Linked DNA regions of Coturnix japonica. The protein of the gene in region 2 purifies or fractionates together with the protein of the main gene of each other region. This does not show direct contact. Links are inferred from orthologs where the notes say so. Each region holds a gene or a part of one and is shown on either strand. Other genes may lie near its edges.

Evidence for each region.
Region 1: the proteins of ANAPC1 (region 2) and CDC27 purify together in Homo sapiens (affinity purification with mass spectrometry; 16 studies listed by BioGRID and IntAct, with this or other methods). This does not show direct contact. The link is inferred for Coturnix japonica from reciprocal best matches to the Homo sapiens genes ANAPC1 and CDC27.

What each region holds. Positions count from the first base shown.
Region 1 is NC_029542.1:2,299,827-2,309,953, reverse strand, and holds the end of CDC27 (cell division cycle protein 27 homolog), read right to left. Parts: intron 9,810-10,127; coding exon 9,676-9,809; intron 9,565-9,675; coding exon 9,465-9,564; intron 8,817-9,464; coding exon 8,609-8,816; intron 7,543-8,608; coding exon 7,370-7,542; intron 6,740-7,369; coding exon 6,587-6,739; intron 5,801-6,586; coding exon 5,592-5,800; intron 5,382-5,591; coding exon 5,264-5,381; intron 4,891-5,263; coding exon 4,762-4,890; intron 4,287-4,761; coding exon 4,212-4,286; intron 3,322-4,211; coding exon 3,141-3,321; intron 2,460-3,140; coding exon 2,377-2,459; 3' UTR 1,063-2,376; downstream 1-1,062. UniProt on the Homo sapiens protein: Component of the anaphase promoting complex/cyclosome (APC/C), a cell cycle-regulated E3 ubiquitin ligase that controls progression through mitosis and the G1 phase of the cell cycle.
Region 2 is NC_029518.1:4,580,597-4,590,959, reverse strand, and holds part of ANAPC1 (anaphase-promoting complex subunit 1), read right to left. Parts: coding exon 10,346-10,363; intron 10,182-10,345; coding exon 10,047-10,181; intron 9,897-10,046; coding exon 9,814-9,896; intron 9,660-9,813; coding exon 9,581-9,659; intron 8,999-9,580; coding exon 8,924-8,998; intron 7,897-8,923; coding exon 7,820-7,896; intron 7,550-7,819; coding exon 7,459-7,549; intron 7,370-7,458; coding exon 7,316-7,369; intron 7,047-7,315; coding exon 6,853-7,046; intron 6,629-6,852; coding exon 6,542-6,628; intron 6,024-6,541; coding exon 5,906-6,023; intron 5,062-5,905; coding exon 4,984-5,061; intron 4,567-4,983; coding exon 4,499-4,566; intron 2,914-4,498; coding exon 2,778-2,913; intron 2,289-2,777; coding exon 2,202-2,288; intron 1,694-2,201; coding exon 1,598-1,693; intron 1,282-1,597; coding exon 1,083-1,281; intron 34-1,082; coding exon 1-33. UniProt on the Homo sapiens protein: Component of the anaphase promoting complex/cyclosome (APC/C), a cell cycle-regulated E3 ubiquitin ligase that controls progression through mitosis and the G1 phase of the cell cycle.

The DNA.
Region 1 (10,127 bases), on a different chromosome or scaffold from region 2:
CACACGTTGCTTTTCCCTTTACTTCACTGCTGGGAAACGTGCAGCCCCAGCAGCACAAGGTACAGAGGAAGCATCAGGAGCAGAAGAGTGAAGGGCAGGGCTGAGAAATACAGAAATGAAAGGGAGGAGGGCTCAAATTCAATGCAACCCCAACAGCCAAAGGCAGAAAGGAGACAGATGGGGCTGCTGTAACAAACTGAGTGCCAACAGCTTTAAGGATAACAGAACTGAGACCCTTCCTGCAGCACCCAGCACTCACAGCTGCCCTTATTGAGGAGTATTGAGGTGCTGGGAGGGCTCACACAGCCCACAACAGAAAACCTGCAGCCCCAGCTCAGGACACAGCAGCTCATAGGGGCAGAAAGCTGCTAAATCTGCTTCCAACTTCAGGTTCTTCTATAAAAGCCCATTTTAAAGGTATGATGTACACATAAACATGGGGACAGATGCAAGTATTGAATCTTCAGTGAGTATCCAGCACCCCAGCTGAGTTCATGACTGTTGTGTAACTGTTCTCAATGGCCACAGGAGGGAAGGAGCCCCCTGGCTTCCTAAGCCTCAGGTCAAAACAAGCAGCAATTCCTGGGGGAAGTCAGAGCAGCAGCAGAGGATGGAAAGGAGATGAACCAAGCAAGGTGCTGCTCTGGGAGCTGGAAGCACTCGGTGTTCCTTCCCATACACAGGGAAAGACTCACCTGCTGCAGCTGAGGAGCTCCTGGGGATGAAGCTCATTATTTCTGCTTAGAAAATGGGTTGGGAACCAAAAGACTCCATCCATTGTGGCAGGGCAGATGCAGGCACTGCCTCCATCAGTGGAGGGGGGGGTGTTTATTCTTCACCTTTCAGGACCTTCACAATGCTGGGGATGCTCAGCTCACTTTCCTCTGCTTGTCCAAGAACACAAAGGCTGCACTTTGGGTTATTTCTCATGCAATAAATGTGTCCCTATGACTCACAACAGCAAGGAGCTGTGATGGAGCACAGTGCAATGCTATGGTTTAATGCACAGAGAGAAACCCTTCACAAGACAGCAACAAAAAGATCAAGGCTGACACCAACAAGTTATGTTGCTATGAAATTTATATCATTCCCAATTTATTATGCATAAATCGCTCTTTAAAACTGCTTTTATCATACACTTTCTTTATCATCACTGCATAAAGGGCACCAATTGTTGCTGCAAAACACTACAGAGAAAGGTCGTTTTGGACTCAGTGTGGCACAGCTTTCTTCACACAGAAACAGCCTCAGGGAGGAGGGAAGGGGTCTATAATCCTATAGAGAGAAAGCGATTCCGAGGACCTCAAAGAACAGCTTAAAACAAACCCAAAACCACAGAGAACTGCACATCTCTGCACTCCGCTTGGACCACACGTTACAAAACTGGTTTAAAAAGGATCCGATCTGAGGCAATTGTTACCTGATGCATTCGACTGTAAGGTTCTGATTTTGCATTAAGGCTTCTGGTCTTCCCCATGGATTGGTTCAGCAGCAGGCAGTCACTGCAGGGAAAGGGCTCGGTGGATCCACGTTAAGTCGTATCTGCATTTCTCTCTCTTGGTTTTGCCCCTTTATTAATGTTTATTTTCACACCGGGAAGAACAACTCAAGGGGGTGTATGAAAAAACAAATGGAGCAATGCACCGCTGACTTGTTTAACGTACAAAGTAAAGACATCTTAGAAACTAGGTGAATAAATTAAGTCTCTGTTAAGGACATGAAAGTTCTCCGTGAAAGCTGTGATTCTGCACTGTGATTCTCTTGCTACGTCCCCATCCCTGCAGGTTTGCACTCTAAGAGGGACACAGGGTGCTGTTACATGGTCTGACAGCCCCAGCCCTGAGCACACACGCTCTGTTTGTTCACTGGAGATGCTGCAGCTTTAAGGTCATTTACATTCCCTGGCATTTAAGTTACACTACAATATGCAAAAGTCTTTAACAGCATTTGTCAACACTGTCCTCAAAGAACTCGGAAATGAAGTTCAGCACTCTGCTCACCAAGAAAGAACCAAACTAAGACACACTTCTGGGAAAGGAACAAGACACCGCTTCATTAGTACTGCCCCCACATCTACTGGCTTCGTTACAGCAACCCGCACGTCTCTTCCATGATATTTTTTCCAGCAAAGGGGAGTCCAAAATAAACCAAAAACCCAGCATTTCCTCCTTATAAGAGCCAACAAGTCAACCTCAGCAGCAGCCAAATATTGCACTGCCATTAATTCTGTGCACAGTCTGAGCGGTGAACTCATGGTGTCAGTGGAGAATTCATGACAATGCTGGCTCAGTGATGTGAAGACCCAGGACGCAAAGGAAAGGGAGAACACAACAGTACCAGTCACACACTCAAGCCCACATGTTGGCTTTTTGGAGGTTAAAATTCATCGCTTTCAACTGCATGGAGCTGTGTGTCATCTGCATCCGTCATGCTGCTCTCTTGGGATTCGTCTGTGCCAACTTGGAAAAAGAAACAGAACACAAAATTGGTCAAAACTTGACTACAGTTCCTGCACAGCCAACTGCAGCACAGCAGCAACATGTTGGTACCTCATCAATGTGAAACTGAGCTCCTGCCTTCATCCCCCTCCCTCAAAAGGCTTAAGGAGCCATAAGGTCTTTTCATTGCAATAAGGTGACCCCCCGCTAGCTTAATACAGTTGAAATAAATGCATTTAGAAAGGAATTGGGATCACAAAATACAAAAACCTGCAGTCTCCTTCACTTAACAGATGCTCGCTCCTGTTACCCACCACATCAATGCACTGTGATTGTGATCACTTATGATCCAAACGTACACCTTTTATTTCAGTTATATTTATAGGACAGATTAAGTCACGGGGCTTCCCCCAACCTCCCACCCTCTGCTCCATCATTTGACTGCCACTGAAGTTCCAGTACTCTGTCTCCATCTTCTGGTGACTCAGCCCACAAAGTGCACCAGCCTTACATGCAGATTATATGCAGGTAATCCAACCTCAACAGCAAGAGGAAAGCCTGGCACATCAGGAAGTGCAGTGCAGCTCCCCATATTGAAAGCACAGTGGGACAAGACCACTAGGAATTACTATGATATACACCCTAACAGCTTTTCCAGGTGAAGATTTAGGGATGCAGAACACGCATATGCAAAATACAAACCTGATTCATAGGGATAACATTCACTGATTTGCTCTTCTTGAGTTATTGGTTCCTCGTCATCTGGAAGGTAACGTTTATCGATAGCCTCTTTAATTTGGTTGTTGGCTCCTTTGGGATCTAAGTCCATCGCCCAGGAGAAATTCATTAGGGCCAAATGGGTTTGCCCCAGCTTTTTATAAACCTAAAATAAAAGCATGAAATGCTACGTTTACAAGGTGCTGTGTGAAAGGTTGGACAACAAACACAATAAGTCACAGTTAACTAACACATATGAGAAGCAGTAGAGTAGATTCAAACATTTATTACACAAGTCCAGAGGGAAACAGCAAAAGCATGTAGAAAAAGTGCATGAGTGTTTCTGCCTAAGTGCCCAAATTTAAATGAAGTGATCAAATGAAATTAGCAGCCAACAGATTCAAGAACATAAGGAAGTGGTTCTTCAGATGTAATTTAAGCCTCGGAACTCCTACAGCCTCATTAAGATTTCCCACTTCCCAAACTGATACAGAAGGATATCGCCTTCTGTAACCCACTTGCAAAGGCCATCAGCTGAAACAGACACGGAGGAGTAAAAGCACCCCACAGACACTTACTCAGCACTTCTGATGCAATATTAATACATTTATACATTTGAGCATGGTTCAACACTTTCACATCTCCAGGCCCAAATAACCAACACAGATGACTGATAGTCAGCCTAGCCCTGAAAGCTGTTCTAACTACTGCAACCTCTTTGCAGTTAAAGATCTCAATAAAGATCCATTTCTTGCTTTCTAAAATGAATTCCTCTGAGACAACAGATGTAAAAGAAGACAACAGGAGCTTGGGTTATCTTTTCTTGGGTGGTTATAAAAATAGCTTGAGGTTGCTCCAGTCTTTTAAGGCTGAAAGCTGTTACGTTGGAGAGCTGTGAGATTATATGCAGCAAGTCTTATTGAAGGCTCTGTGAATTTTACAATGCTGCCCCAAATGTAAACAGCTTGGCAACAGGCTTCAAGTTTCCTCATTAAGCAGACGTTTCTGCAATGAAGGAAAACAAAGTGCTTACAAACACAGTGAAATTTCACCTACCTTTCCTATTAAGAAGTAAACAAGAGACTCTTTGGGAACAATCTGCTTCAGTTCTTCAAGTTCTTGCAAAGCAGACTGAAAAGGAAGAAAAAAAATAAGCACAAGCTGGCAACCAGCAGCCAGTTATTGCATTGCTGAACTGCAACTCAGAGCTGATGCAAACCTCGCAACTGACATACAGCACACTCCACCACAAACAACAGTACGGCCTCATCAGAAGCACCTCAAGTTTCTTTTACATTAGTTTCTCCTTTAATGGCTATAGAATGTTATGGCCCAATTATTACAAGCACAGAATAAATACGCTGGGCTTTGGTCTCCTATAATAACATCTAATTTTTTTTCTCCTGCTCACAGGTATCCTCTGCTTTTGACTTTTAATCTCCTGCTCAGTGAAGGTGGCACTTCTTGAAACAAATGCTTTATTAGCTGCTCTGCCTCAGGCTCTTCCTACTCATGCTTCAAGCCTTAATGCTTATCACTGCATCCCCATCCGCTGCTGTAGCAAGTAACAGATAATCTAAGGTTGTCTACGTGCATCAAATCTTACCTTGTATTTCTCATTTGCAAACAGTACAGAAGCTCTATGGAATTTGCATAGTGGGTTCTTGGGGTCGATGTTAATTGCTTTGTTTAGAGTATCCAAAGCCTTTTCAGATTTTTTCAGTGCGTGTTGGACCTGTAACAGAACAGGAATAAAATCTCAAAAGGGGAAAAGAATAAAGTAAATTTGACTGGTGCTGCTACGTTTACTTACAACCTGTTCCTACTGAGTCTTAAAGAAACCAAGCTTTCTCACAGGTAAGCCTATGCTATCAGGTTGAGTCAGTAAGCCATTTCAACACTGGCTAAAAGCAACTGGGGGGAGGGAGAAAAGAGGATTTATTTTCTGACACAATCCCACGGTTATTCATTCATGCAATAAGATCCTCTAATAGATCCTCTGAACTTTGTTTTGTTTGTTTTTGCACTTCAAGTTCAGGAAGGTTGCAGGTAAAGGGCAGAGGCAAATCAGAACATAACAAGGAGAGAGCTGAGCGCAATCTACTTACTACTCCAATGTGACACAGTAAGACTGAGCTCTGAGGATTGATATCAAGTGCTTTCTGGAAATGCATTTCTGCTAAACTGAATTTCTCCTGTTTGTAATAAATCATTCCCAACCCATACCTGCAAAAAGGAAAAACAGTTCCATTAATAAGAGTGCATCTTAAATAAACTAATTGTCATCAGCAAATATGGACTGGTAGAAGTGGCACATATTTAGAAATGACTCAATGACAGAAAAGTCTCACAAAATTCACAGCAGCGTTTGCAGCTTATTCCTCCCAAAGGTGCTCCATATCACATACAGCAGAAGGGGGATGAAGCAAGACTTACCATGCATTGTAGTGCCTGGAGTTGACTCTGATTGCATTCCTAAAACAAGCTAATGCCTTGTCTAGCTCTTCTGTTAACACAAATTCATGCCCCAAAAGGGTGTAGGCGTAAGCATAGTTTGGATCAACTTGAATGGCTCTCTGGAAGAACTTGATTGCAATGTCATGCTCTCGTTGCAAGCTGAAGCAGTTCCCTGCAGCACACCATGCCTAATAAAAAACAGCATTCTAAGTTAGAAGTGTCATTTCACAACCTGCAGAATGACCAAGTCTGAGCTAAACAGATCTTCTGTCACTGATCTATGCAATTATGTCACTTGCTACTAGATTATAAACAACAGTTTTAACAGTACTGACCAGTTGCTTCACTAAGTCCTCCTTCCTCTAGTACAAAATAGAATGACCTGAATAGGTTCATCTCCAGCAGAAAATCCCAACAGACTCCACAGCTTCCCCCACTCTGTCAAGAGCAGATTTATATCCCCTCCACACACATACATACTTATTATTGGGGCACATGTCAGCTTGCTTGCATGTCATGTGCATGTTATAATACCAGCTCAACGGACTTCAGCATAAAAATATTTTCAAGCAGCGTTGTACAAGTTGTGCAGGAAATATGAGTGCCAGTGAATTACAGCAGTTAGAAGATAATATGAGAAAAAACATCCCTTATCTTTACATGTGGGCATCAGCAGGGACAATTGATCAACCCATGATCTTCCTGGATTAACAATGTCAATACAGATTCAAATCACCATTAATAGATTAAAGGTTCACAACGTGTCCCATATAAGCTGATATTCTAACGCCAAGCAGCCATTTCAGGCATCATCAGCTCAACAGGCAAATCCTGCCACCTCCCTCTCCAGTTTCACCTCATATTTCTCAAGTGAGAATGAAATCCTAATCCAGCTCCAGTCCAAGTTCTGTTCCCTGTCACTGTCTGTGCCGCACACAGTTACTCATCTCACTGAGCACCACAGCATTTTGTACCTCTGGTGAGTTTTTATCCATGTCTGTTAAATCCTTTGAAAGAACTGACAGAGCAACATCTTTCTGCAGATGCCACAGCGTAGTTGAATAGATCTCCATGCCTTCTACTCTGTAGTTTTCAATCCTCCTCACTTCTGAAAATATCCTTTCAGCCTAAGAAAGGAAATGAGAAATCAAACAACAGCAATTCCACCCACTCAAACAGAGCACACAGATCAAAGTTAGAAGCCTCATATGTCCAGAATGAGAATTCTTTGCTATGCAAACATGAGGCAGAGCTACAAGTCCTGTTGTATTTTTATCTTCCCCACCAAAGGAAATGACTGCACTCCAATACAGTTAGACCAAGCAGAATTCCAGCTGCCCTCCCTGCTTGTGACTCCTGCAGGAAACAAGCACAACAACTGTCAGGGCAACAGAGAGAATAAGAGCTGAACGGCTGGATTCATCTTAGCTGCTTTTTTCTGTTGTGAAGCAGTTTGCTATCACCTCAGCTGCAAAGGGAACCAGGTCATCAATGGATCTCCATTAACTAAATAAGGGGGGGGAGAAGAACACCTGGTTTTGGAACCTGAATTGTTTCAGTGATTATTTACAGCACTGCAGTACAAACAGCTGCATCAGCCCAAGTGAGGGTGAAGATGGAGAAAGGCAAAGGGAGACTCCCAGGACTGGATGCAAGAGGAAGTAACTTCAGCATTAAAAGAAATCTGAAGCACAACTCAACTTCAGGAAACAACGACTGCTGACACAGACTCAAAACCAACCACAGGCAGTTCCTACCTGCATGTATTCTGCAAGTTCAAAGTAAGCTCTCCCAATCTGGCACAGCACCCAGCCAGTGTTGTAGTGGTGAGATGGCAAATGGCTTAAAATATTTATCGCTTCTTTGCAGTTGTATGAGCACAGGGCTAAATAACCTTTCCCCATGTCACGAAGAAGGCTCATCAAACCTTCTAGGAGAAAAATACAATAAGTAAAAATGGAAAAAACTGCTGAAATTCATTTACTTGAAACAGCTAATCCTCATAAGCTTCACACTGTGGCACTGCTCCTAATTTTGCATATGAATATCTTCCAAGAGTCCTTAAGCAGGCTTATCCACTCTTAATTCACAACACAACATTCTAAACAGCAGTGGAAGTCAGGTGTTGACAACTTCTCAAGCCAGCAACAGAACACTCAGGAACAGAGAAATGGTGACGCTCAGGAGAAGTGGATTTCTGCACTTACACCAACAACTCAAACTTATTTTTTTTTAGGTCTCAGTTTCCACATGTCTGGTATCCATGGACACATCTGCTCGCTGCCTGGAAACTTTATGGAGCCAAAAGAGAGGAATTCAATAGCTTGTCTAGGATTTTCTGTCAAACTGGACAAAGATTTGTGCTTAAATAGGAAACCGCAAGGGAGAATAGACAACACAAATCTAATTTTAAGATAATTGAATTACTCATAACTCCTTTGAATCAGTTTCCAGGGTTCCTGCCTGAAAACATCTTAAACACTCATAAGAACCAGAGTCAGATACGTTTGCTCACTGTTTTTTTCATCCTATTATTTCATTAGTTCTCTGTAAGTTACATTGAGTTCAGTGTACTCCAACTATCTTGATAATTACAGAAGAGCTGCAGGTTGACTGAAATGATACACATAACTAAAGCAATTTTCCCCTCCGTCTAGACTAGAGGGAGCTTATAAGCAGGAGGGAGAACGACTTTTCACACAGCAGACAGTGCTAGGACAAAGGGGGATGGCTTTAATCTAAGAGGGGAGATTTAAGCCAGATGTGAGGGGGAAATTCTTTACGAGGGTGGTGATGCCCTGACACTGCTGCCCATCCCTGGAGGTGTCCAAGGCCAGGATGGATTCTGGCCTGTGCTGCTGGGGGGCAGCCAGCCCACAGCAGAGGGTTGCAAGTGGGTGAGCTTTGAGGTCCTCTCCTACACAACCATACTATGATTGAAGACATACATCTACCAAAGTTTGACCTTACTGAAGTCTGATAACATTCAAACAGACCTGCTGCTGCCTTCTGTAGCGTAAAAGCCTGGATCTGTGGTGTAACAGTAGATATTTTCCCTTCTGAAATGATGGAAGAGTCCAGTTTGGTAATTTCCAAGCTATCATTTATGTTTGGCTGAGTTATCCCTCCCTTATTTGTTTTACTTTTTGTTTTCCTGTTTGCAATCTTAGGTGGAAACTTCATTTTTAATTTTTTGCTATTTTCCTGCAAGCAAAAAGAACAAAAGTCACATATACAAAAGAAATTAATTCAACTTAACATGATTAACTTGCAAGTTCAGTAACAATGAATTTATCCCTCTTCACAGCTTTCGCAACAGTGCCCAGCTGTCTGTAACTGAGTTCAAAAGTAAAACACCTCCTAACTCCACTGAGTGCTTTGTTTTTTAACAAACATTCACATACATTAACCACAGTCCACAAGCATTTGTGCTCTGAAGTCCTGCTCCACTGATTAAAGAACAGAAAACTGACAAGAAAAAAAGTCAGCTTGCTTTTAGAGAAGCAAAGCATCCAGCTAAGAAATTCTGAAATAAACATATCCACACAACACAGCCCCTTGTCAAATGGGTTGGCAGCTAGCAGCACAACTGCACTTGTCATCCCAGTACAGATCTTTGTTGTTGTTTATCATGACCTTCTTCCCACCCCTAGTGGAGCACTCTTGAGAACGAAAAGGAACATATGGCATTCAAGGCATGTTTCATATAGCCTGATTTTTCTGCTCATGATGGAGTTTAGGAACAAACTGCTATGATTGATGTGTAGATGGGGAAACTATTAGGCAGTGCAGTGGCATGGGTAAGGAAAGCCTCTCAAGCTTGGGAAAAAAAATAAAGCATGGATTCATTACCTTTGTTGTGGAGCTATCACTAGTAAAAAGGCGAGAGCTTCTTCGAGGCAGTGAGTTTGGTGGAGCAGCAATTGTTGGGCTCAATACCTGAGGTGTTGTACTGAAAGCAAACAGCACATGAAAGTTAAAGACTTTGGTTTCACTCTTCTGGAAACAAAAATTGTTTTATTGTTTTAAAGAAAAATGCTCAAATACTGAAGTACCCAACTACCTTGTCTGTGGACCAGAGCTCTGTGTTTGTGCAACGAGGATTGGAGTGACCTCCCGGCTGTTTCCACTCTGGGAGAAGACTGACTTTGTTCCAGCCTGGCTGATCCTGGTGACTGCCTGCATAACACAACGTTTCTACAGGTTTGTTATTATGACACTGACAAGTTTCAATTTCTATCAAAGCAAATCTCTTCTGCCTACTGAACTGTGCCCAGAGGAAAAGTAACATTTCCACAAAGGTTTCCCCCCCAGTTGTAAGGAGAACCCAAAGTATTCCTCATTCTCTGCCTGAAAAAGTTGCCTATAACAACTTCCCAAACCTCCACAAATGTTATTTAGAGACATGAAATCTCCATCTAGTGGCAAGAAACTACATTAAGCATTTGTGCAAGAATAAAAGGGAATTAAAAAGTGTCACATTTTAAGCTCCTTATTCACAGGGAGGAAGTTAAA
Region 2 (10,363 bases):
TTAAGTAGGAACGCAGGCAGACATCCCCTCCAGCTGCAATGTATGAGATACAGTGATGAAATTTAGGGAGCACATGATGGTGGAAGAAAAGGTGAGGCATAACAGTACACCACCAGGAAGAGCTTGCTGAAAAGTCTCCATCTCCCCATAGGAGGTGGGTTAAGGGTTTTCTTTAAAACCTTCTGTTACAGACAGCTTTTACCCTACACCTTGTTTTCTGCTGTGCTCAACCCTCACTCTTGCTCCAGAAAATGATCTTAACTTCTTAAATTAAAGAAATTTCCCCTAAGGTAGCATAAAATCTTCTGAGTTAGTAAAACACTATGGCCATCATACTTAATTCAGTGGATGATGCTGCAGTCCTAATGTACTGAACGCTAAGAAAACTAAAGGTTGGTTGCCCCATCTGAGTTTTGGCACCACAACCACACATGAGAAGATAACATTAATGCATAAACAAACACAGAAGTACTTAAACAGAACAAGAAAATCAATAGTACAAATACCATATTACTGATTTCCTGCTAAAAGAGAGTACCATATCACTCAATTCTGGAGACTCTCCAATCGCAGTATCACTACGTGGTCAGAGAACACTCCAGCATTTGTAGTTTTGGTGTTAATATTTGAGAGATTAAAGACTCAGAAAAAGAACAGCTACTTGGAGGGCAGTAGCTGGAGCTTATCAATTGGACTCAATCGGTCAAACACATTACATTAACCCAGTCTTTCCCTGACAGACTTTCAGTACCATGCTGAAGAAAGACTAAGCAGTAAGCTGGTAGACAAGATATGTAAGCAGCAGTCATATGTGAGCAAGACTTCAGCCCTCTGCATAGGCAGCGTTGCTGAAGAAGTCCCTTCAATTCTAAATCCCATCCTGTTTGTCTCAGGTACGTGATATATGATACTAAGGCTAAAATACATGGCAAACAAGTTGGTGTATGTTAACATTCATTGCCTTCTCCTTTTCAGTACTTTGAGGCAAAAATCAACCTTAATCAGCAATCATCCCCAATCAGAAGGTACTAAGAACACTGAATCATGACCACAGCTGCAGGTTTAAAGTCAGTTCACTATACCTTGAAGCCACTGATCCAGAGCTTTATCAATAGTGCACTTCATCACAGGCAGAAATTCAGAGTTCATGAAGAGTCCTCTGTTTGGATTCCTGCTCATCCTCCCCTGGTGACATCTGGAATTGAAGAATTCTAACACCAGCTTTATCTGCCCCAGCTCAAATGTCTCAGACATTTCTCCTCTTTCCAATCTCCTCACAGCCTAGTAGAGGGAAATACAAAGCAACTGTGAGAATGGGAACTTAATGGAGAAAGGAAAGGAACCCTAAAAACTCCCCTCTCCAAGGGCTCCCCTCTTTAGCACCTACTTAGAAGATCCATCAGTGAACCTCACTGTGTAATTATAATTTCCACAGCCTTAAACTATTTTCCAATTTGCTTTTAAAATCACCACTCCCTTCCTATAAGTTCACCAACATATCCCCTCTATTCTTTGTTTCCATAGAATGGTATGCAATAAACATTCTTATGCCAAAGCAGTTTAAAGAAAACAATAACAAATACAGTATTTACTTCACCTGATCTATTGCTATGTACGTGGGCAGCATCTCTGGTTTTTCTTGGGTAACGCACTCATAGAGAATTGAAGAGAAAAAATCCAGCATTTCCTGTTTCTGATAAAACACATATCTTATGAATTGCACATGCCAGGCACAATTTATTTCAGGTTTTTACACTGCTTCAATTTCCTTCCACTAAAGTCAGCCCATGCACTGATGTTCCACAAACTAATAATAGCTAGGCAATGCCATGCAGCCTGCTTTCTTTCTGGTGATTGTTAATACTAGGTGTAACATAGCTGTATTTTACTTCCTGCCTTAGGTGACTTAGTGCAAAGAAATGCACAGCTCCCTTCTGCAGGACACTGCACAGGGCTCTCAGGATTTGGTCAGTGCAATCCACAATGAGCACAGCACAACCATTGGTGTATTCTGCAGCTTAACCAGCTCTGAGGTTGCATGAACAACTATAGAGTTAGCACTATTTTGTGCTTTCACGCTACAAAGCATCCCTCAGAAAACTCCCACAGGACTGAATTTTGTCCCTCACATCTTAGCAGACTTCTTCCCACCTTTGTTTCATGAAAAAGGAAGCACGGTAGTTCACATGTAGACATCATACCTGGCCCATGTTCACAGTTGGTTTGCAAAAGTACTCAGCAAACAATAATAGAGCAGGATCAGATGTAAAAGCTGAAATATCTTCTGGCTACAAAACAAAACACACTCTTAAAATGGACTTTTTGGTTTCATCACACAATTGAAATAGTGATTTATATCCATCTTTTCCATCCCCAGTACACAAGTGAGAACAGCGCAACCTACGAAAAGCATATCATGGGCAGAACCTGCCTGATTCTTCTGTGATGAACATACATTTGCATGGCAGCTGTTGGCCTAAGCATATTGCACACCTCCCTTAAGCAAAACAAAGGACTTTAGCACTCATAACCTGGTGGCAGTGCTACCTGCTGGAAATAACACAGCCCAAACCTGCTGTGCTTCCCCTTTTGTCTTTCCAGAGGTGACATTCTCAGTTCCTCACAGCCTGTCCTCAGACACTCCTCTGAGGTGACATCACTTCACTGCCAAATCCTTTGTTAACAAAGTTTAGCAGCTTTCACCTCTATGTGCCATGCTGCCCTTGTAAGAAAGCCTCCATGCTGCTCTGCATAAGAACCAGTAAAGGCAGTGATACCTTGAATGACCGTGCTTCGTTCCCATGAGTAATAGTCTGTGCTGAGAAACTGCGCCAGCCCATGGGATCCTCCTTGTAGGAGAGCTGCCCAGCTCTCAGCTTCACGTACAAGACACCACCCTTTGAAAGAATTGATCTGAAATAACAACAGCGGTGCTTACTTTACATTGGCAGATGCCCACAATGAGGCTGACCTGCAAAATAAACATGAACTCCACAGCTTATGCTTTGCCTCTATTATTTAAACTTGCACAAACCAACATTTTTTATGTATCTTCCAGGGAAGACTGCTATTAAATGGTGATGTGGAGGCAGGCAATGGTGATGAAAACAAGGTAAGCCCTGCTAATAAAAGGAGTGTAACTTCCTGAAGCAGGTTTTTGTCCAGCACCCAAGGAAAACCACACAAGCTGGAAGCCACAGCTCTAAAAGCACGCTGCAATGCTGAGCAAGTCCTTCCTCAATGGCAAATAAGCAGAAATGACCCAATACAACCCTTCCTCCCCAACCCTGACCAAGCCTACATATAAAAGCATGCAGCACTTCAAAAGTTACACTGCTGCAAAGCAGCTGCATGTTTACCACATTCAGAGTGTAGGCACCGGAATCCCTGTAACAATCAAGTTCTCCAAACTGAAGGTAACTGCTTTGCATAGTACAAGCAGATTGTGCTGTGTTAAGGCAGGAAAAAAGATTTCTCATATATGCTTTTACCTTCAAAACAATGCCAGCCAAGTCCCTGACACTGGAAAGGTCTTGGGACATGATAGAGTAACCGATGTTGTGACAAGAGATGGCAGAGTCAAAGCATCTGGAGTGCCAGAGAGCAGACAGAGCCAAAGGCAGCAACCTCCTCAGCCACCCATGCTGCTTTCTGCTGCGGCAGTGAGTGCTGGCAGGCTCTTTAGGGGCAAACAAGCACTGAAGTGTTAGCAGTCTCTATAGAAGGACAAAGCTGTGCCCTGCCAGCTCTGGTGTAGCAGATGACTCAGGATGTGTCTGCTGATCTGGAGGACTCCACACTCCACATCAGCTCTGTTATTGCTAAAGGCACGGATCAACAGCCGCAGCATTGTAATGCTTAACTTAATCTCAATGGTGGCATTTCATGTAACAAGAACAACTACGCTGCTGCTGAAAGATGCAGCTGGCTTCTTCCACACTACTCACGGTGACAAGTTACACTGTAGGTTGCTAAAAGCACCAAGTGAGAATGATTTTACTCACAGATACTGTGATTCCGGTAAGATTTCTGTTTTTCACAGTTGCCCAATGGAGAGTTAAAAATGCAGTAAGCACTGTATGCTACATGTAACATCAGAGAAATAGTATTTCACAAAGCGGTAACTGCTGGCTAATTACTGTATCAACAGCCTGGGAAACATGACATCACAACAACTCAAAACTAAACCAAAACCATGAGATTCAGATGGTTTCTGGTGCTGCTAAATCCCGCTACCAATATCTGTGGTTTTTACTATCAGGTTTTCCCCTGACCTGTTTTTTGCATGAATTATTCTCATCAACAGGTGAAACCAACTACGCAGTTTCTTTCTTCGCTTTAAAGCGCCATCAAATGCACAACAGCAATCTGATCAAAAGCAGACTGCTTTGCAAACCGTAGGTGTTACAAGTATGGGAGTGTGTTGGTTTTCTTTTCTCTTTTATTTTGAAATAAATACGAGGTTATTATTCATTTAAGCACTACAAATAGTACTTACTTGAGATGACTTGTTTCGTTGCTTAAATCTATTAGAAGTTCCCAGTACCGTGGTCCCTTCACTCTGATCTGTTGATTTAAGCATTTTTATTATGAGGTATAACCAGAAACGTAACAGGGTTTTCTACGTAAGCCTAAAGCCCTTTCCCTGCCATTACAAGGGGAAATGACCTTTTATCACGTTACCCACTCTGAAAACATGAAGGAGGGACTAGCTTTGTCTCTCTTGCAGTGAAGCTTTTGGTACAGGGAAACCCCTGCTACATCAGATCTTGAAAGCATGACAGCCAAGACCAAAGAGAAGCACGTGCCATGAGACAGCATGTGCACTCACAGTGACAACTGCCTTCAGAGCCACTGCTATAGACAGCATTGTCCACAGCCTGCCTAGTGTTGGGTCAAAGAAACTTCACCAAGTGCTCCTGCACCACAGGCAGCACACAACCCATGTAATTATATTCTCCATTAAACATGGACTTCTTTTACCTGCTTCAGCAAGTGAAGCTCTGGAAGAAGCGTGGGTGCCATCATTTCCTCGGTGGTTTCTTCATACCATTGTGTGCCCTTCAAAATGCCATCAGGATTCACATATTAGTAAAGCTCACTTTCATGTGAAAAGAAAGAAAACGTGCTTCTTGCAACACAGTTGCAGAGGCCAGTCAGTTTCTGTTGCTGAACTCTGACTAAATACATAGCTTAGCATTACCTTTAACATTACAAGACATAAGCCTGAACTAGAGAGCTACTTCTCATAGAAGAATCACCACACAACAGCAGGCACACTCCATTGAAATCCAAAAGTTTGAGAAGAAAATGATAGTATGGATAGCCCTATCTCCTCCCACAGCAAGGAACAGAACTTCAGCATCTTTGCCAGACCCATGGAGGATCTGCACTGCAACACTTCTCCCCTGAAATCTCAGCAACCCCTTCTTTAGGTCTTTCTCAAGCACCACCCATCTCACGTTAATCTATATGAGAATAAACAGTAGAGAAAGCATTCTTCCCCAGAAGGCACATCATGTAGAGAGAGACACCAAGTTGCCAGTCTCAGCAGAATTAGAAGGCAGCTGTTAAACCCACAAACGGCCCCAACCACCTCTGCATCTTTGAAAGTTTTCTCTTTAGAAAAATGAGAACTACAACTCTGGGTCAGCTATTACGTACTTGAAGAGTTTGTGGTGCTTTTTATTTGTCCTGTATTCTCCTCTCTGTGTCATCAAAGCACGTGTAACGTGTGAGTGGGCTGAACACAGCCCTTCAATTATTTGCCTAAAGAATCAGGCTTATCTCCACAACTTGAAAACAAACCCAAAACTGCAGGCCACAACAATGAAAATAGCAGAGCTTTGGTGTATCGGAGTTTTCAGTTGCCTCCCACACCTCCTCAAACGCCTTCACTCCTTACCTTGAATGTAACTTCTAACAGTGCGTAACAAGGAGTGTTTGAGTCCACATCAACGGGTATTAAGAGCCTTGGATCCGCTGCCAGCACGTACAAGTGCCGCAAAGCCTGAAGATGATACCTGTGTGTGGGGAAAGGAAACTCAAGACAAGCAGTACAGGCACAGAATAATCCCAAATAGTAAGCTACACACAGCTCAGTAACTACATACAGCTGTCAACTGAACTGAAGTTAAATTTGGAGTAATTAAGCAGGTTTCAAAGACTTCCTTAACATGGTATGCTTCAGCTAACAAGACAGGACTTCATGAATTTTAATTAAATTCATGAAGAATCATAAACAGACAGATCTTGCATGACTTTTTTTTTGCTGAGCAAGCTGGAACAGATAAGTCATTGTAGCAGAAGCCCCAGGACACCTGTTTGCATTTCCTCATTGATCAATGATCAGAACCATCATCTTACTGCTTCTGCTATTTACATTTCTTCAGGGGATGAACCTCCAAAAAATTAGCTATATCGTGCCTATATAAATTTCCAAGAGAATTTCTCTCTATAACCTCTATTGTAAGGAGATTATTTAGCCTGAAAGTTAAGGAGATATAAACTTTAAAGAAACATGAAGTTAACAAACACTTACCTATTGTCTGTGCTGTGAACAGGGAAGTGAGGGTACAGAGCACAAAGGAGAGCAGCAATGGAAGAATTTGAAGTGCTCAGTGAGTATCTGTTGAAAAACATTATCTATTAGTCTTACTGCCAACAAACACATGCCACTACCACAGATGTTCAATATGTTCTGGTCTCTTGCATTCGGGAAGGACAGTAACAAAGTACAGAAAAGGAATTTACAAGTGTATACCCACTAAAAAAAGAAAAAAATCGTGCACTGCTCCAGCTGTTGCAGAAAAGGTGGGGGAAGAATATGGCTTTAGGAAATGGCAAGTTTACCTTCCTCCTCCCAGAAAGAGAAGCCCCAAAGCCATGTGGTGAGCCAGATGGAATCCATAGTTCATCTCTCCGCCGGTCTTCTTGTGCATGAAACGGCAAAGCTGAAGAACTTTCAAGTTTCCAGAGCCAGCCACCACCATTGCAAGAGACAGCAGCAGGACGCTCAGGCACGTTTCGAGATTATAGTGACCTATCTTCATGTAGAACAGGGAAGGTGTCATTACACATCTGTGGTCAAATGCACTTCTGATCTGTCTAATATGCTGCTGTCTACCCCAGACTTTGAAAAACCACATTCCACAGAAAGAGGGAGAGTGGGGAAACAGTGAAGTCCTTAACAGTGATTCACAACCCTCCTACATGCTGTAAGTCTGTAATACACACAAGTAAGAGGAATGGTTCTGCTTGCATTAAGGTTTCAGTGATGGTAATCAAAGTAGAGAGAAAACTTGGAATAACTTACTATAGAAGCTGTTGGTGCTGACAAACTTTTCAGGAAATCTGTTGCGTATTTATCCTGGAAAGGAAAGAAATGCATGCTGAATAGAGATACAAAGGATAAGCTATAGCTCTATGGATTTTACATGAAGAAATCCAACCTCTTACCAAGCAGTTAAATGCTGCCTTATTTTCTGAGCCAGCAAATCGAAATCCCAGTGACAAACATGCCCCAGCAATGATGTAGACATGAGCTTGCCTAGTAAACAACACGAACAGGAATTGATGAAGTATTTATCTTTTTTATTAATCTGAGTATGCACTAAAAGCTCTTATAATAGGAAAAAAAAAAAAAAAGAAAAAAGACAGACCCTCTCCACTACAGAGAGAATAAATTCCTCAGATACCAGGGAAAGATTTATTTGATCCTGATATGTCTTCAAAAGTTCAGCTGCATTTTATCAGAAGCAGAATTTGGCTTTGTAAAATATTCTTTTATATGCAAGATCATCTTTTACAAGTTACTTACATCAGTGTTTCTAAACTCAGGTCTTCTGATGAAGGCAGCTCTGTTGCATGAAGAGGTATACTGTTCTCTCTTATGATCTATAAAAAAGGGTAAGAGAAAAACGAATAGAGAGGAACCTCTCTAAGCCCTCCAGCCATCAAGTGTTCACGTAATACAAAGTAGGTCTGTTTCAAAGGAACACAAGTTAGCTTTGCTTCAACATGTTACTGCTCCACTGTATTGCTGATCCAGAAAGCACACTTTTTAATGCTTGTGTATCTGGTTCCTTCGATATTTCTAGAACAATGGCATTATTATGTCAGAAGTGTGACAGTGCACTCAGATATCAGAAAACAGAACAGGATGAGATCTTGAGAGGCCAGGGAGTTCATCTCCATCCTGTATTTCTAAAAGATATAATCTAATTTGCTCTTCAAAATCCCAAGCAACATATCCTGGAATACAGTTGATCCTCCTGTAGAGGAGCTTTGCACCGAGTTTGTCTGGTCTTTGCAGAGGAAAGTTTAACTGCTTCCCCCTTCTAGTATCATTGTCATGAAGAATTCCATCCAATAATGCTACACAGGATGTGAGCCGCCAGGGCTCCTGGAACAGTCAAAGAACCCTGCATAACTATTATCTCTGTCACATAAACAAACTAGATGTGTTTAAAATGGCCAGAAACACCTGATGTCTTTAAGTCCAGCAGTCTTTGGTTCAAGCCCTTACTCAAAGAAAAACCATCTTCAAAGCTATATCATATTTGCTCAGGTTATCTTATCCAATTCCACTTTGAATAGTCTCAGAGATTCTGGGCTTTCCTCCTAATGTCTGATCACTCCCCTTGCAAACACTGTTTCCTTACAACACAACAGAAACTCCTATGTTGCAACTTGTGTCTGTTACATTCATCTTTTCCTCCTCTCTTCTCTGGCCTCAATGTGGTATGTGAACAGTGTTAACTGATAGCCCAGCCCACAGCCTCTCTTAAGTCAAATCACATTTCCCCTATTAAGAAAGCGCAGCAAATTAACATATGCTTTATTGTGCAGCTCATGCAACTGAGGAAATGTTCACTTGCACAAGACAGCAGGGTGTAAAACTAGGAAGCATAAATATACCTACTTGAGGCACGTTGCTATCAACCCATTCAGTGCTGGGCATGATGTCATCCCACAAAATCAGACACCGAGCTAAGGTCTAAAAAAGTGATAAAACCAAAAGGTAATAAAGAAAAAAAAAAAAGTTAAATCAGTGTTAGTTTTTAACATATTACAACATGCATCCAGAAATGTAGCTGCTCCCATTAACAGCTCCATTGCTGTTTCTTAGCTTTCATATTAGAAATGGCAAAATAGCTTTTATTTCAGTGCAATTAAAACTCTGCTTGGAGATAAAAGAGACACAGAATAAGCACTTGGGAAGCCTGTATCTTTAGCTGGTAAGCTGACATGAAAGCACATTACAGCTTACACAGATGCTGAGGTTTAACCGTTTGTCAACATTGAAATTAATTTGTGAAAAGCTATAAAACAATCACTTAAACATTCAAATTACTCAGCTCGAGATGTATCCTTCAAATGTTTCTCACCAAATTCTGTCTGTCTAACATAGTGTGAGAAGCAAGCAGAGGCTGTTTGAAGGTATGATTCTAGCTGACAAGTAACAGAGCAGCTATCTGTAGAAAGGGTCCTGTATGACAGGCGTATGGAGTTTATTAAAAAAATAAGATGTATTTTTTACCATCAATAAATAGACTGAGAAATAAAAGAAAAATCTTACTCTCAATAAAAGGAACTCTGGTTTTACAAAGTCCAGCAAGTACATGGTATCTGGTGTTTGAAGCCAATCAGCAATGGATCTGCAGAGCACAGTAAAGGAACAGGGTTTTCAGACTGTATTACAGCAACATGCAAACACCTGAGTGAGCCACATGAGGCAAAGCCAACATTATGGCAGCTCAAACTCCTATCACAAACTACAGCAAAGTGCTTGAGTACCTCCAAAGTTAGTACCTGTTATTTGTCTTTAGGTAGATCATAGCAAAGGCAAGCGTGGCTCCTGGACAAGTAACATCCACATTTATTGTGTCTCCTTCCTGCAAAAACAAGCATATACGTGTATACTAGTTGACTAGGAAAGGTGACATGAGTAAAGATTCAAGATCATTCATTAAGATACAGACTTTCGAAGACTTCTGAGCTAATATTACCTTCCCCTTAAACAAGTAAAGAACACCAACACATACCTTAATTTGGTAACTAGGAGACTTGTGCTTCTCCCTGTGCATTCCTGCTTGGAACCGCCTGTGACCCCCAACCATGTACTGGTAAAGCTGCTCAGGAACATTGAGGTCTGACATACCTATCAGATTACTGCCATGCTAAAGAAGAAAGAAAAGAAATAATAGGCAAGTGTTCCCTTACATAACAACAACAACAACAAAAAAAATCATTTAGCCAAGGGAAGGTTTGAAGATGAAATGATTCTCATTAGCCCTGCCCCAAAAACAATAATTCTTCTACTGAAGCGAAAAGAGGCACTTACTCCCAAGCACACCATGCC